2 linked regions of the Macaca mulatta genome follow. The protein of the gene in region 2 purifies or fractionates together with the protein of the main gene of each other region. This does not show direct contact. Links are inferred from orthologs where the notes say so. Each region holds a gene or a part of one and is shown on either strand. Other genes may lie near its edges.

The links. Proteins that work in one complex are often made in the same cells at the same time.
Region 1: the proteins of NCBP1 (region 2) and PABPN1 purify together in Homo sapiens (co-immunoprecipitation; 3 studies listed by BioGRID and IntAct, with this or other methods). This does not show direct contact. The link is inferred for Macaca mulatta from reciprocal best matches to the Homo sapiens genes NCBP1 and PABPN1.

What each region holds. Positions count from the first base shown.
Region 1 is NC_133412.1:96,418,765-96,425,983, reverse strand, and holds the start of PABPN1 (polyadenylate-binding protein 2), read right to left. Parts: upstream 4,489-7,219; 5' UTR 4,471-4,488; coding exon 4,120-4,470; intron 4,010-4,119; exon of another isoform or gene 3,904-4,009; intron 3,756-3,903; coding exon 3,641-3,755; intron 2,939-3,640; coding exon 2,871-2,938; intron 2,557-2,870; coding exon 2,450-2,556; intron 1,976-2,449; coding exon 1,888-1,975; intron 1,803-1,887; coding exon 1,651-1,802; intron 690-1,650; coding exon 650-689; 3' UTR 1-649.
Region 2 is NC_133420.1:60,764,882-60,772,130, reverse strand, and holds the start of NCBP1 (nuclear cap-binding protein subunit 1), read left to right. Parts: upstream 1-3,233; 5' UTR 3,234-3,480; coding exon 3,481-3,514; intron 3,515-7,249. UniProt on the Homo sapiens protein: Component of the cap-binding complex (CBC), which binds cotranscriptionally to the 5'-cap of pre-mRNAs and is involved in various processes such as pre-mRNA splicing, translation regulation, nonsense-mediated mRNA decay, RNA-mediated gene silencing (RNAi) by microRNAs (miRNAs) and mRNA export.

The DNA.
Region 1 (7,219 bases), on a different chromosome or scaffold from region 2:
AGTGCATTTCCCCAGGGGGAAGGGGAATTTACACTGGAGCCGCTGGGAGCGGATCGGAGATCTTCCGGCTACAGAAACCTGCAAAGAAAGACACTCAAAACAGAAAAAGAAACACAAAAGGAAACAAAATAGATCACCAGGCAATCTGGAGGGGCAGGGAGCCGGAGAAGAGGGGTGGGGTGGGTGGTAGACCTGGCTGGACAGGAGCAGGCAGGAGGGGACTGTGAAAGGCGAGAAGACGGAGGGAAGGTAACAAGCAGAACAGTTTGGTGTCCTTCCAGAGCCCTGGGTAAAAAAAAAACCTCCTACCACCCACGCCCACCTACCCTTGAGCAGCCCCCAAGGGGACGAAGTGGGGCAGGGAAACATGGGGAGCAGCTTGCGCAGTTGAGACGTGTCCATGGCGAATCCCCAGAGTGAATAAGCAGCCCCCTGCCCCACTCCCTGGGCCTTCCCCTACTCCCCAAAGCAGGTCCCTCCTCAGCAGTTAGTTATGGGATTCTCCCCCCTTCCACAGTATATCTTTTTTTTAAAAAATATTTTTTTTCCATCAAGGTCATCTTCTGTTTTTCTTTTTTTTTTTTTTAATTCTTTTTTTTTTCCTTCTTTCCTCTTTTTTTCCTCTCTCTCCTCCTAATACACACTTTTTTTAGTAAGGGGAATACCATGATGTCGCTCTAGCCCGGCCCCTGGAAGAAAGAAGGAGAGTTAGGTGTTAACGTGATCACTAGATAGTTCAGTACAAGCCCCTCCCCGTGGGCCCTTGACCCAGTTACTGTGAAGGGAAGTGGGGAAAAGAAGTTTTCAAGTGTCCTAAAACTGACCCCATGATCCCAGAAATAGTAACACACCTTGAGAACTGGGGCAGGGGGAGGGGGGCTTAACAGAAAACTTTGCCAAACAGTGGCAAAAAAGAAGTGCATCTGAGTGAGAAACAAGGGCAAGAAAAACGACCCTCTTTTTATCCAGTTTTCAGTCCTCCACAGCTCTTATACCCTAGGCCATCACAAATAGATCCTCCCTAACTCCTGGGAATAGGCAGGTAGAGTTTATGAAAAGCCAAGGTTTATATGCCTAACCTGTCTATTTAAATGTAAAGAGACAAGTGAAGCAAGGCAAAAACCTGGACACCACACTAGGCCCAGTGAGAAGTTAACCTTGCAAGACTGGCTCAAATAAAGAGTAAATATCTCAAAATCCTCCCACAAGGCTGTTGGGGAGGATCAACTAGCTAGCCTCTGGTATTCTTCCAAGGGAGGTTCAGTCTTCAACCCCTCCCTCCGAAAAAAGAAAAAAGTAACAAATGTCCAAGCAGTGCTTTCACTGCCTGGAGGCCCTGTTCCTCCGGGCTTCGTGTAAACACCTTCAAATGCCACCAACTCCCAAGAAAAAAAAGGCTGGGGGTGGAAGCCTCTTTGAACCAAGGGAGGGATGCAGCCCTTATCACCAATTCCTACTGCAGAAAAGATGATGAAGTTGGCCTTCTGGCCTGGCCTGCAACTACCTTCCTCACCCTGCACAGGCAGGAGACAAAGTTCCTGAAGACCACAGGGAGGGGTGGGGGAGGGAGGTTCCTCAGACCAGGAGAGAAGGAAGCATACAGGGCTCATGGGAGGCGGGGGGGAAGAGGAGCAGCCCATCTATCCTGACCTGTAGACACGACCCCGGGGCCTGCTGTTAAAACCACTGTAGAATCGAGAGCGGGAACTGTTGTAGTTGGTGGTCCGGGCGCGGTAGCGGGCTCGTGGAAAACCCCGGTCTGTTGTGCTGATGCCTGGTCTGTTGGTTCGTTTTGGGATCACCTGAGTCAGAGATGAACAAATGATAGCCTTAAAGTCAACCCAGAGAGTTTATACAGAACCAGAACAGCAATGGACATAGGCTTACCTTGATTTGCCTTCCTCTAAATAGGGACTCATCTAAGGCCAAGGAAGTCCTCACTGACTCTTTGTCTGAGAACTCTATATACGCAAATCTGAAAAGAATTGTCATTGTATCTCTCTGAGGTTACAAATACCTCACAAGTCAAATTCAACTTGCAGGCATGCTTCTTTTTGGGCTACAATGTGGTTACATTTTTTATTTGTCAAAATTCTTCTAAATGGAAAATTTCATTCAAAATCATTTAAATTTTAAAATTTCCAGCTACTCTTTGAAACTTGTAAAAATAAGACACACAGGGCCTGAATTTCCATATGGCCATAACAGGCCAAGTAGAAGCTGCCCCTCCCCTTCTAGTTTGTGATCCCACCCACACCTAGCCTTCATTTTTGTTATCTGGCCTCTGAAGACATTTAGGTGCAACTCTTGATATATATCAAAATTGATGCCATGATCTTAAATGACACAGATCACCTGTGTTAACAGCAAATAACTTACTGCTCACTATAAAACATAATTTATCTATTTTTGCACTGTAAATTATCTCAACTTACTCCCCTTTACTTACCCTTTGGGATGGCCACTAAATTTGTCACAGAGTATGGTAACACGGTTGACTGATCCACAGCCATGAAAGTGAGCTTCCAGCTCTTCTGCTGTTGCACCATAGTCCACCTGATGAGAGGAGAAAAATTTCACAGGCACCAGGCAAATTCCTGTCTCAACAGGAACCCTCCCTAGCCTTTGGTCTGGGCCATCTATACACCAAAGCACATGAAATCTGGTAATTTGAGGAACTAATCCTTTTGCTTCCAAACCCAGAGCCTTTGCTGATTACTGATCATTCCATTACCTTTAACCTCCTTCCCACACTCCCTCCACACACCCCCAAAACCACACCGATCCCGGAGATGTTCCTTCCAGGACTATTAAATAACTCCCCAAAAGAAGAACTTGCCCCCAACCCCAATCAGAGCCCCAGCACATACATTGCCAACATAGATGGAACGGGCATCAGCCTCCATCTTCTCCTCAATGGACATGATCACTGGGCCAGCTATCAGGAAAAAATAATATTTTTTAAAAACCACACACTTGTTTTTGACCAATATATTGCACTTCCACCACCAGCACTATCCCATTAGCTCAACGAAGGCAAAGATTTTGGTCTGTTCTGTTCTCTGCTGTACCCATAACCTAGAATAGTGCCGAGTCCATAGCAGGTACTCACTAAACATTCGATAAATTGAAAGAATAAACTAATACACACTTACAACAGTATAGGAATCCCTCCTGCCTCCAAATCAAATCCCTAATGAATGGCTTTGGCTGAAATGCTTTTAAGAGTGAGCAAAATTAAGTGGGCTGAGACTCCACATTTCTAGATTAAAGGGGAAACCCCTTGCAGCTTGCTTTCTCTTAGAATCCTAACTAAAGCGTTTCCAATTGGAAGAAAACTATTAGATTTGAAGGTCAAATGCGAGCTTGCAACCTCTACAAAGGATAGACGTAGACTAAGAACAAAGAGCAACACAATTATAACAGGGACAAAGGGAAGCACAAGGCTACCACCACCAAAATATAGGTTCTGCCTCACAAAGGTCAGGCGAACACACAACGGATTATGACCGCGGCACAGTCATAATAGCTCAGACAAGCAGCTCCAGGGTGCCGAGTATCTTACCCCACATTCCCCATCTTCCCCACAACCCTTCCAGCCCGAGAACCCTGGCTCCGCGTGCAACCGCCAGTTACTCACCATTGCCTGGAGGTGGACTCATATTCATCTGCTTCTCTACCTCGTTCTGTAGCTCCTTTAGCTTCTCAGCTTCTTCCTCCATCTCCCTGACTCGAGCTTTGATAGCTTCCAGCTCCTAATATAAGTGGGGAGGGTATGGAAGAGAGCTTAAGAGGAACCAACGCAGGGGCTGTGCCCTGCTCTCGGCCGGAGCGCGGCCTCAGCCACGCTCGGCCATTTCCCTCGCCCCATGCGAGGGTCGTGATAAAAGAAAAGCAAGCTACCCTCTCTAGAACAACACTAGGCACCCGTGACGCCCGAATCAAGCCAGCCGGGCCCCTTGTAGTGATCGCTGACCCATCCCCGGCCCGACCCGGCCCCAGCCACGTTATTCCCCGCCCAACCCCACCCCCCGCCTGCCTCCCGCTCGCCCGAGCTCTGGGCCTCCAGTGACCCGGCCGGCCAGCCGCCGGCCTGCTGGCTCGCCCTCCTTCCCTCACCGGGTCCTCAATGGCGCCGTCCCCCGGGTCACCCTCGACCAGTCCCGGCTCCTCCTCCTCCTCTTGGCTGCCGGGGGCTCCCGAACCAGGCCCAGGGCCCGGAGCTCCCGGGGGGGCGCGGGGCCGGGGCGGCTCCTCTTCGGGCTCGGGCTCCGGCTCGGGCTCCAGCAGCAGCTCCTCAGGCTCCAGTTCCTCAGACTCCAGGCCGTTCCCGTAGTCCCCTGCGCCCCCCGGGGCCCCCTCCCCGGCCTCCCCACCGGCCCCGGGCACAAGATGGCGCCGCCGCCCCGGCCCGGAGCCCCGACCGCCCGCAGCCCCCGCTGCTGCTGCCGCCGCCGCCGCCGCCGCCATCGCCGCTCAGACTGGGGCCCGCCGCCCGGCGATTGGAGAGCTGCGCCGGCCACGCCGAGGACTCATTAGTCAAGCTGCCTGCCCGTCACCACGAGCTAGTACTCCATTGGGGAATATTACTTGGCAATCAAATGAGACCCCACCTCTAAGGCGGGGTACTGTGCCAAATTCTCAAATCCCGGTAGGGGAAATCTGCCTGTCAATCAACACGCGTCCCACCTCCTATCGAGTCCTTAGGTAATAATACCGCCACGCTGTGACGATATTTCTGCTTCTCCCCGGCCTACGGGCGGGCCCGCGAAGTATAGGACGCTCCGTGATTGGCCCTAGCTAGGCGACTGGAAAGGACCAATCTTCCGATCGCCTCACCGCAGTGGCCCAGTCTCAGATGCTGATTGGCTCGCGAGATTCGAAGGAGTGACACTCGTTTCGTGACAGGTGAACCTTGCCCCCGAACGGACTGCCCGGCTTCAAACTTGGAAAACCCGAAGTCACATGACTAGCCAGCCCTTAGGGGGCCGCCATCTTGATACTACTGCTTGCCAGCTAGTGAGCTGTTGGCCGGGTGAGGCCCAAAACAGAGCAGCAGTTTCAGGAAACTTGTATCCTGACCAGGAAGCACTAGTAGATGGGATATTGCTGAAAATGGAGGTTGTGAATGAATCATTCCAGGAGGGAGCTTACTTTCTCCATCCAGGTTATTGGCACCATCATCCACTAGCTCTCCCACACCAGAAAGCAGGGAGAATTCCTCAGTCCAGAGCTACTAATCACGAGTCCTGTCTGTCCCACCCTCTTGTGTAGACCTCCTGCTCCCTAGTTCCAATTTCTTCTCTTCCCAGGACAGCTTCCAATGTCACCCTTCCAATCTGCACCGTTAACAGACTAGCCCCCCTTTGCAGGCGAGGTAAAGCCTCAAAACGGTAAATCACAGCCTTCGACACCCCAGCATGTGGTTACTTTGTGGATGTCTCCTTCCACCCTTCTCGTTCCATTTTGTGTACCTGCACCCAGTCTGTGCCTCTAACATGTAGTTCCCCTTCAACCAAACCACTGCAAACCTCAGCTTCCCCTCATTTCCCAGGACAAGTGGGCCTCTCTCCACAGCGCGCTTCATTGTTTTGTGGTTTCTTAACTAGGTTGTGAGCGCCTTCAAATGAGGGGCCGGATACTATTTATATTCACATCTCCACAGCCTGGCAATATGCCTACCACATAAGGTCCTGTTAGATGTTTGTTGATTGAGCATGCATTGATTGGGGATCTGGGTGCCACCCTTCATTTCAGCCCTCAAGCTCCCAAGATCCCAGAGGAATTTCTCCTGGCAGGCTCCCACTACACGGCTGCATCCGAAATATCAAGGAGACCTAGCCCTGGAGGGCAGAATTGCCACATTTTTGTAGCAATCTAACACATTTATTAAAAAGGAAGGAATGGCAGTGTAAGTTTGCAAGAGGAATTTTTGTGGGCACACTAACCTACAGTTCGAAAGATACGTATAAGCCCAACCAAAAAGTTAAACAAACATGGTTGGCAGAGGGATTTGGACAAGAGAACATCTTCATTAGCAAACCAAAAATCAAAAGTGACTCATTATACCCCACTATTCCCCTCACCCCCACTTTTTCTCACAATTCCTTACCTCGAGATCTGGGGAACTTGGAGCAGAGTCACAGTCGCTTAAAATTTCACTGCAAATTACTTCATCAGCCATCTCAGCTTCAGTGATCTGGGATAACTAAAGTTGAGCACCGAAGACAAGCTCTAAATGATTGAATACCCTGGAAGAAAGGTCTTTTATACTAATCTTAACCTAATCAAGATTTGTTTATCTTATTGGTACCCAATTTAATCAAGCCAATGAAAGGAAATGTGATTTTTAAAAATGGCTTTGAATCCTATTTTTGTTGAGCGCTTGATTTTGTAATAAGCACCACTCCTTATTATCTCATTGGACTCTCACAACAACCCCATGAGGAAAATATTTCCAAAACCATAATCTTCTTTAGGGAAAAAGAAAAAGGCTTAATGAAATGAAGAAACTTGCTTAAGTCATTGGACTAATTAGAAGTGTGCAGTGCTGGCTGGGCACGGTGGCTCATGCCTGTTATCCCAGCTCTTTGGGAGGCTGAGGCGGGAGGATCACCTGAACCCAGGAGTTTCAGACCAGCCTCGCCAAAATGGCGAAACCACATCTCTACTAAAAATACAAAAATTTCGCTGGGCATGGTGGTACATGCCTGTAAACCCAGCTGCTCGGGAGGCTGAGGCAGGAGAATCGCCTGGGCAACAGCAAGACTCTGTCTCAAAAGAAAAAATATAAATAATATATATAATACATAATATATATTATGTAATACATATAATAGTGTGCAGGGAATTCAAAGCCAGCTTTCAAAGCTCAGATCAAAACTACTATAAGGCCTGCTTTAATACATAAAAATTATGTGTGAAAAATGGAAAGACTAAATCCAACAACAGACAAAAGTTTAAGCAAACTATAATTATATCCAAGAAAAAATTATTATGCACCTATTAAAAGGGTTACCTAGTGTGACAAACATGTGAAAATAATTTTGTTAAGCCAAAGAAGAATGTAAAATTGTACATAAAATATAATTACAACTATGATTTTTTTTTTAAAACTTAAGCATGGGAGGAAAAAAGGAGCAAGAACCAGTACAATCTTTCTATTCTTTGGCAATATGTACCAAAAGCTTTTAAAATGGTGAGATTCTTAAGATCAGGC
Region 2 (7,249 bases):
CTTTCCCACCACCCCAAAATGATCTCCTCAGACTCTGCATCTTTTTTCAGTCTCAGCTTATTTTCATTTACGTATATACTCTGAACTATTATTATTTGTGGCACCTCTGCTATGTGCCAGGCCCATGGAATAGTCCTGGGAATGCAGCTATGAATGAAACAGTTGAAGTCCCTGCCCTCTTGGAGCTTATATTCTGGTAAGGAGAGACATTAAGTAAGTAAAAAAAAAAGAAAATACCAGCTAGGGATAAGGGTCCCTGCTTCTCAGTTTCCTTTGCTGGGTCTTCCTTATTACCCCAACCTCTAAATGTTGAACTACTCTATATCTATACTTACCCCACAGGTGATCTCATCTACTTCCAAGGACTTAAAACTATATTTGCCTCAAAATAATTGGGTGAGAGGAGGTAATATCAACGAAACCAGAATATTCATGAATTAAGAATTACTGAAGTTGATGAGTACATGGGGATGCATCATAAATTTTCCCTACTTTTGTAAATATTTGAAAATTACACAAAAAAAGAAAAAAGGGAAACATAAAGGAAATTTTATGTTTAGAATACTATACAATAAATGACTCCAAATTCATATCTTCAACCTGGGCCTTTCTCCCAAACTACAAATTCACATACCCCACTGCGTGTGAAGCTAGCTAGCTTCAGCTTCAAATACAACTGTTCAAAACCAAACTCTGGTCTTCCCTAGTCTTCCTTATCTGAGTACAAGACAATTTTATTCTTCCGGTTACTCAGACAAAAAAAAACTTTGGGATGATTCCTGACTCCTTATTTTCTCACACTATCATTCACTTGTTCAGAAAATCCTATTTTTTTTTTTTTCTTGAGACAGGTCTCGTTCAGTCGCCAGGTTGAAGTGCAGTGGCATGATCTCAGCTCACTGCAACCTCCGCCTCATGGGTTCAAGTGATTCTTCTGTCTCAGCCTCCCAAGTAGCAGCTGGGAGTACAGCTGGGACTCCCAAAGTGCTAGGATTACAGGCATGAGCCACCATGCCTGGCCAGCTTTGCTTTTGAAGTACAATCTAATCAGATCACTTTGCACCATCATCTTCACTACCACCCTAGTTCAAGCTACTATCATTTGCAGCTTGAATTATTGTAACAGCAGAACTATCTTCCTCCTTTGGGAGCCAGAGAGGTAACTATTAAAAAATAAGTCAGACTGGCCCCGCACAGTGGCTAATGCCTGTAATCTCAGCACTTTGGGAGGCCAGGAGTTCAAGACCAGCCTGGTCAACATGGCGAAACCCCATCTCTACTAAAAATACACAAATTAGCCTGGTGTGGTGGCGCATGTCTTTAATTGCAGCTAATTAGGTGGCTGAGGCACGAGACTTGCCTGAACCTAGGAGGTGGAGGTTACAATGAGCCAAGACTGTGCCACTGCACTTCAGCGTGGGCAACAGAGCGAGACTCTGTCTCAAAAAAAAAAAAAAAAATTCATACTCCAATGACTTCTCAATTTACTTGGATAATGTTCAAAGTCCTTACAGAGCACCTTCTCCCTACCCCTCTGATCTCATCTACTAGTCTCCCATTGTTCACTACCTATGATGGCACTATTTGGGGCTATTCCTGAATGGATCGTTAGAATATATCAGCGCCACGAGAGCAGTGGTTTTCCTTTGTTCACCTCGACATCCTCAGCATTCAGAACTCTGCCTGGCACCTACGAGGTGCTAAATGCTAATAAATACAATATTCGCTGAATGAAATAAAACAGCAATTGGGTAACCAAAGAAGTCCTCACTAAGGACCTGATATTTGAGCTGAGACCTAAGTGACCAAGAGCCAGTCACGCAGATTTAGAACCAGAGACCTTCAGGTAAAGGAAACAGTATAAGTTCCTAAAATAAGAACAAGCTTGACTTATTGTACGAACAGAAAGAGGGTCTGGAGTACAGTGAGGAGAGGTAGAACTCCACAGGCCATGGTATGGAGTGTGCAATGGAAAGTCGAAGGAGACTTTTTTTTTTTTTTAAGACACGGTCTCGCTTTGTCCCCCAGGCTGGAGTGCAGTGGTGTGATCACGGCTCACCGTATTCTCGACCTCCTGGGCTCAAGGGATCCTCCCACCTCCGCCCCCAACCCTCCCCTCGAGTAACTGGGACTACAGGAGCCAAACACTAGGCCCGGCTAATTTTTTTTTTTTTTTTTTTTTTTTTCCCTGTAAAGACAGTGTTCGCCTCGTTGTCCAGATGGGTCTTGAACTCCTAGGCTCAAGCGGATCCGCCCACGTCGGCCTCCCAAAGTGTTGGGATTACAGGCGTTAGCTACCCCGCCCGGCCGTCACAGGAGACTTTTAAACAGAGCAGTAACACGATCTGATTCAGGATTTGTGTTGAAAGGAGAACAGGCAGGGTTTACAGATCATTGTTATGTAAAAAGTGAGGGAAAAGAGCTAAGAAAGACTCTCTAAATTTTTGGATTAAGCAGCCGATGGATGACGTCATTTACTGAAATGGGTAAGACTGAAAGAGAATTAGGCCGGGAGAGTGAAATTTCAGATGGCCATGGACAAAGCAGATAAGCCAGTATGGTACTCATAAAGACATCAGGGCAGGGGACGGTCACACACAGGCATACAGGTACCCAATAACCCTTGATTACTAAAACAATCATTTGTTCCTTCTTAAGCAAACAACTTAGGGAAAATGACAGCCAGCCGGCAAGCCGGGAGCAGCACGCTCGCGTCAGGGCCGGCCTTTCCAACCCAGGGGGAGGCACGTGCGGCACCGCCTCCCGCCCAGGCCCCACCCCGCATGCCGAGCTTGGCCCAACCTCTCCGCCCACTTTTCCCAAGGCGGCAAAAGCCAGAAAGTGGGAGTAGACGAGCACATACCCGCCAGTCCTGATCCTTTCTTAGGTCTCTCTTCCCTGCACTGTTTCCACCTAGCAATTGTTACCGCTCACCGCCCTGCAGTGTGTTCCCCGTCGCGTGTTTGGGTAGAAAAGCTCGTTCGTGACGTCACCAGGCTCCGGAAGTCTCCTGGACGTCGGCGCAAGGGCCGCCGGGAAAACCATTGAGAAGCCCCGGAGGACCGGCCTGAGCGGAGGCGGGGACTAGAGCGGCCGCCGGCACCACCCGCCTTCAGGCGTACGACGACAGCGGTCCGGGGTCTCTGACTGGCCGAAACGGCGGCACTTTCTGCGTGGCCCCGGAAGGACACAGAGCGGAAGGCGGGAGAAAGAAGCAGCCGGCAGGCGGGGGCAGCCTGAGGGGGCGGTTGCGTGTGTGCCCGACGCCCGTAGCCCACTGAGCTTCCTCACGCCGGCTCTAGCAGCGCCGAGCCCACCCGGCGGCCTCTCCTGAGCTTCCGGGAGCCGTGGCGAGCGAGTGCGCCTGCGTGCCGGCCCATCCGCGCGCCTCGCAGCTGTCCTTGCGCCGGCCAGCGGCAGGACAGTTTCCTCGGCGCTTACCGCCTGGTTTCTGGGCTCCGCGGCGCACCGGAGGGCAGCATGTCGCGGCGGCGGCACAGCGACGAGAACGACGGTGAGTACCTGCAGCCCGGCCGCGGAGGCCGCTCCCGGTTGGGAACCGAGGCTCGGCATCTTTGAGTGTCCATGGAAGAGACTGGAAGCTCTTCTCCCCGGGACCGTGTGGGGAGCCGCGGAGGGAAAGAGGGGAATACAGTGGCGGTGTGACTGGGCGGCTTCTAGAAAGCGACTTTTTTTCTCCCGCCCCAGTTCTTTGAGTCAAGGGCCGATCCTCGGGAAAGGAGGCCTGGTGAACCCCATGGGTAGACCCTTGGTCTCTAAGGAGGCTTCAGAATTTGGTCCTTAGCACCACCGAGCAGGGAAGCACACCTGTGTCCGTGCTGCCGCGTCTTAGGGACCCACTGGTCCCAGTGTCTCGTTTTAACCTTCAAAGCTGCACCTGAGAAGGGCTCGGAAGAATTCACTGAAGGAAAGAACTGAGAGATCTCATGAGTTGCAATCTGAACTCTGTTCCGGTAGTGGTCATCCGTTGATTTCCCTTATTTCGAGCTGCAGGGAAAGAATATTGTCTTACCCACGCCCAAGAGGTCCCTAATAAACAGACACAGGTTACTGCAGATTTTGAAGTGGCCGTAAGCGCATTTCCCTCGTGTGAGAGAGAGTGCTAGAAAACTAACTTCAGGCCTCAGAGAGTTAGAACAGGGGTTCCCATCTGCATTTGGATGATTGTGCTCGTGGAGATCATAGTGTTGTCTTCATAAAGACGGAATAATTCTAGTTTTAACAACAAAAAAATGCTTATATTATACATAAGCCTTACAATCGGTCAAAAACACAAATCCACACACCAAAAAAGTGAAACTTAGAGTAATTCTGTTAACGTTTTAGTGTATTGTTTTTTGAAGAGAGTGTAGAGTAGTGGTTAAGAGGTGAGACTTTGGAACCAGAGGGTTTAGATTCAAAGCCAGACCCTACCATTTACTTGGTGATCTTTTCCAGGTTATGTAATCTCCTTAAACTTTAGTCTGTAATATAGACGTAATGATACTTATATCTTCTGGGTTTTGTGAAGGTTAGATGAGGTAATACACATCAGCAACGATGATGTTTTAATCATTTGCCAGCGCTTAAGAGGCGGTAAACGTTAGCAGATGCTGTCAATGTAAGAAAAGAAACCGTAACAGACATTTTAAATTGAGTAAGTTTTATCCATTAACGTTTGTCTCTCCTTGAGTGTTGTGGCAGTTGAGGTGGAGGCAGAATCGCACGCATTTAGTTTTAATAGTGAAACACCAGATTTCTTACGAAGGCGTGGTTTGAGAGGATATTCTAGTCCAGCTTTCTCATCTGACACCTAAGGGTTTAGAGATTGAGCATAACACGGAGAGACAGCTGTCAGTTCCCAAACACCAGCAATAGCAAATCCAGTCCGGGGCTCTCTTCACTACCCAGGTATAAATTAAATAACTATGCTGCATGCTTTGATTTCTAACACAAGAGGCTTCTTGTGTAACCTGTGTGCAAGGCACAGAAAATACAATCCCCTCCCCTTTTTTTTGAGACGGAGTGTCACTCTTGTTAGGCTGGAGTGCAGTGGCGCGATCTCGGCTTACTGCAACCTCTGCCTCTCAGGCTCAAGTGATCCTCCCATCTCAACCTCCTGAGTAACTGGGACCACAGGCGCAGGCCACCACGCCCAGCAATTTTTATTTTTCCCTGTATTTTTTGTAGAGACGGGGTTTCGCCACGTTGCCCAGGCTGGTCTTGAACTTCTGAGCTCAGGCGATCCACCCGCCTCGGCCTCCCAAAGTGCCGGGATTACAGATGTGAGCTACTGCGCCCGCCGATAATACAATTTTCTTATGCTTTGTAATTGACTAATCAAAAACTAATATACTTCTCAAGTCATTACTTGGGGGTTGGAGAACTTGAGTGTTTTGTTCTTTCCAATTTCTTTGTTGTTCTTATGCTTTCTTTCTCTCACTTATAGGTAATCCCTAAAGAGAGAGGAAATGTCATTGTAGGGCATCCTAGAGAATTGGAATGCAAATATGTAGAAAAATAACTTTTGCTTTGGTTATTGGGAGACTTACATAACTTTCTTGGAGTTGGCTTCATTTTAACACCAGCTTGCAGCCAAATCGCTGTCCATTTGGGTCTTGCTGCAGGAACCTCAGAGTAAATAAGACAAGTAAAACAAGGCCTTCATTAAGCAAAAGTTTTTAAGGTTGGTATTTTAGTATGGGAGAGGCAGATACAGTTCATGTTTGATAATACAGCAAATCTGAAATTTTTGTAAATTGCCACAATTTGGATAACAATCAGCTGGAGTTTACCCTACATAGTGATCTGAATCAGATTATTTTGGATACTTTCCTTTTAGTTAAACATCTATTTTTTTAAAAATGAGAACTCTTAGAAGCTTAAGGATTATAGAAGGCTATCTTAAAATAGGCTAGGAATTATTACAGTCAGAATTAAATAGGTGCATCTGAGCATTTCTGGACAGTTGTCAGCTGTTGTCAGTCTCTGCCCTGACTTTCATATGCTTGACACTCACTCTCTCTCTATATATAAAATACTATAATAGAATATATAATATATTTACATATATATATTTTACATAAAATATGTAATTATAACGTGTATACTTTATATATAGAAGCAATCATATGGAAAGTAATATATCTGAAAAATGATTTATTCAACAAATACTTAACAGTGCCAAGCTCTGTCCTAATTACTTGCAATACAGCAGTGGACAATATAAAGATAGAGCCTCCCCTCTAGAGTAGAGAGAAGACAGTCAAGTAAAGTGTAGTGTATCATACAGTGACAGACGCTATGGAGTGATAACAGGTAAAGCGGGCAGAGATTTCTGTGAGGGAGAAGTTACTATTTTATGTAAGTTGGTTAGAGAAGGCCTCATTGTGAATGCCATTTGATCAGAGACTTGCCGGAGGTAAGGTAGCAGCCTTATAGCTGTATGAGGAAAAGCAGTGATCCAAATAAAGGGAACCATGGACGCAAAAGCCTTAAGACTATAGGGTTCCTGTCATGTTCATAGAACAGCAAGGAAGCCAGTGGTGCTGGAGCAGAGTGAGGGGGAAGTTATAGGAGATAAGATTAGAGAGATAGCAGAGGGTTGCATCTTATAGGAAGATTATAAAATTAGACTTCTGTGTTGAGACTTGACTATCAAAGATTCAGGGAGGTAGGATTAGGAGACTGTACCAATGAAGTTCACGTAGTAGTCCATTTATAAACAAGGAAAAGGAAATGCTAAATGAAAAGTAATGTGTATGGATACTAGTCCAGTGCTGAATCTTAATTGCTTAGACTTGCTTTAAAAATGTCTCTGAAGCTTTTTAGTTACTATGGGATATGCAGTCCATTGTTTGTTCTTTTAAGAAAGGATTTAGATTGTTCAAAATCTTAGCCAGAAACAATACGAATACAATTTTGGGAATTTCAGCAATTTACAAAAATTTCAGATTTGCTGTATTAGCCCCATTTAAGCTTCTTAGAATTAGGTCCTTGTCTTTTAGACTGTGGCTGATTTTTTTACTTAACTAAAGAAAAAAATGAATAGAAGTGAAAGGATTTCTTATTCTGGGAGAGTATAGTTTATTTCAGAAGTGATGGTTGCCTCTGTTTTAAATCTGCAGGATCAAGGCATGTTATCTTTCTTTGAAGTTGTTCAATATCAAAATAGATGAGCCAAAAAAAAAAGGAAACAGTGTGCTTAAGTTTTAAAAATGTAATGTTGAAGTTGTTGGTTTTAGTTACT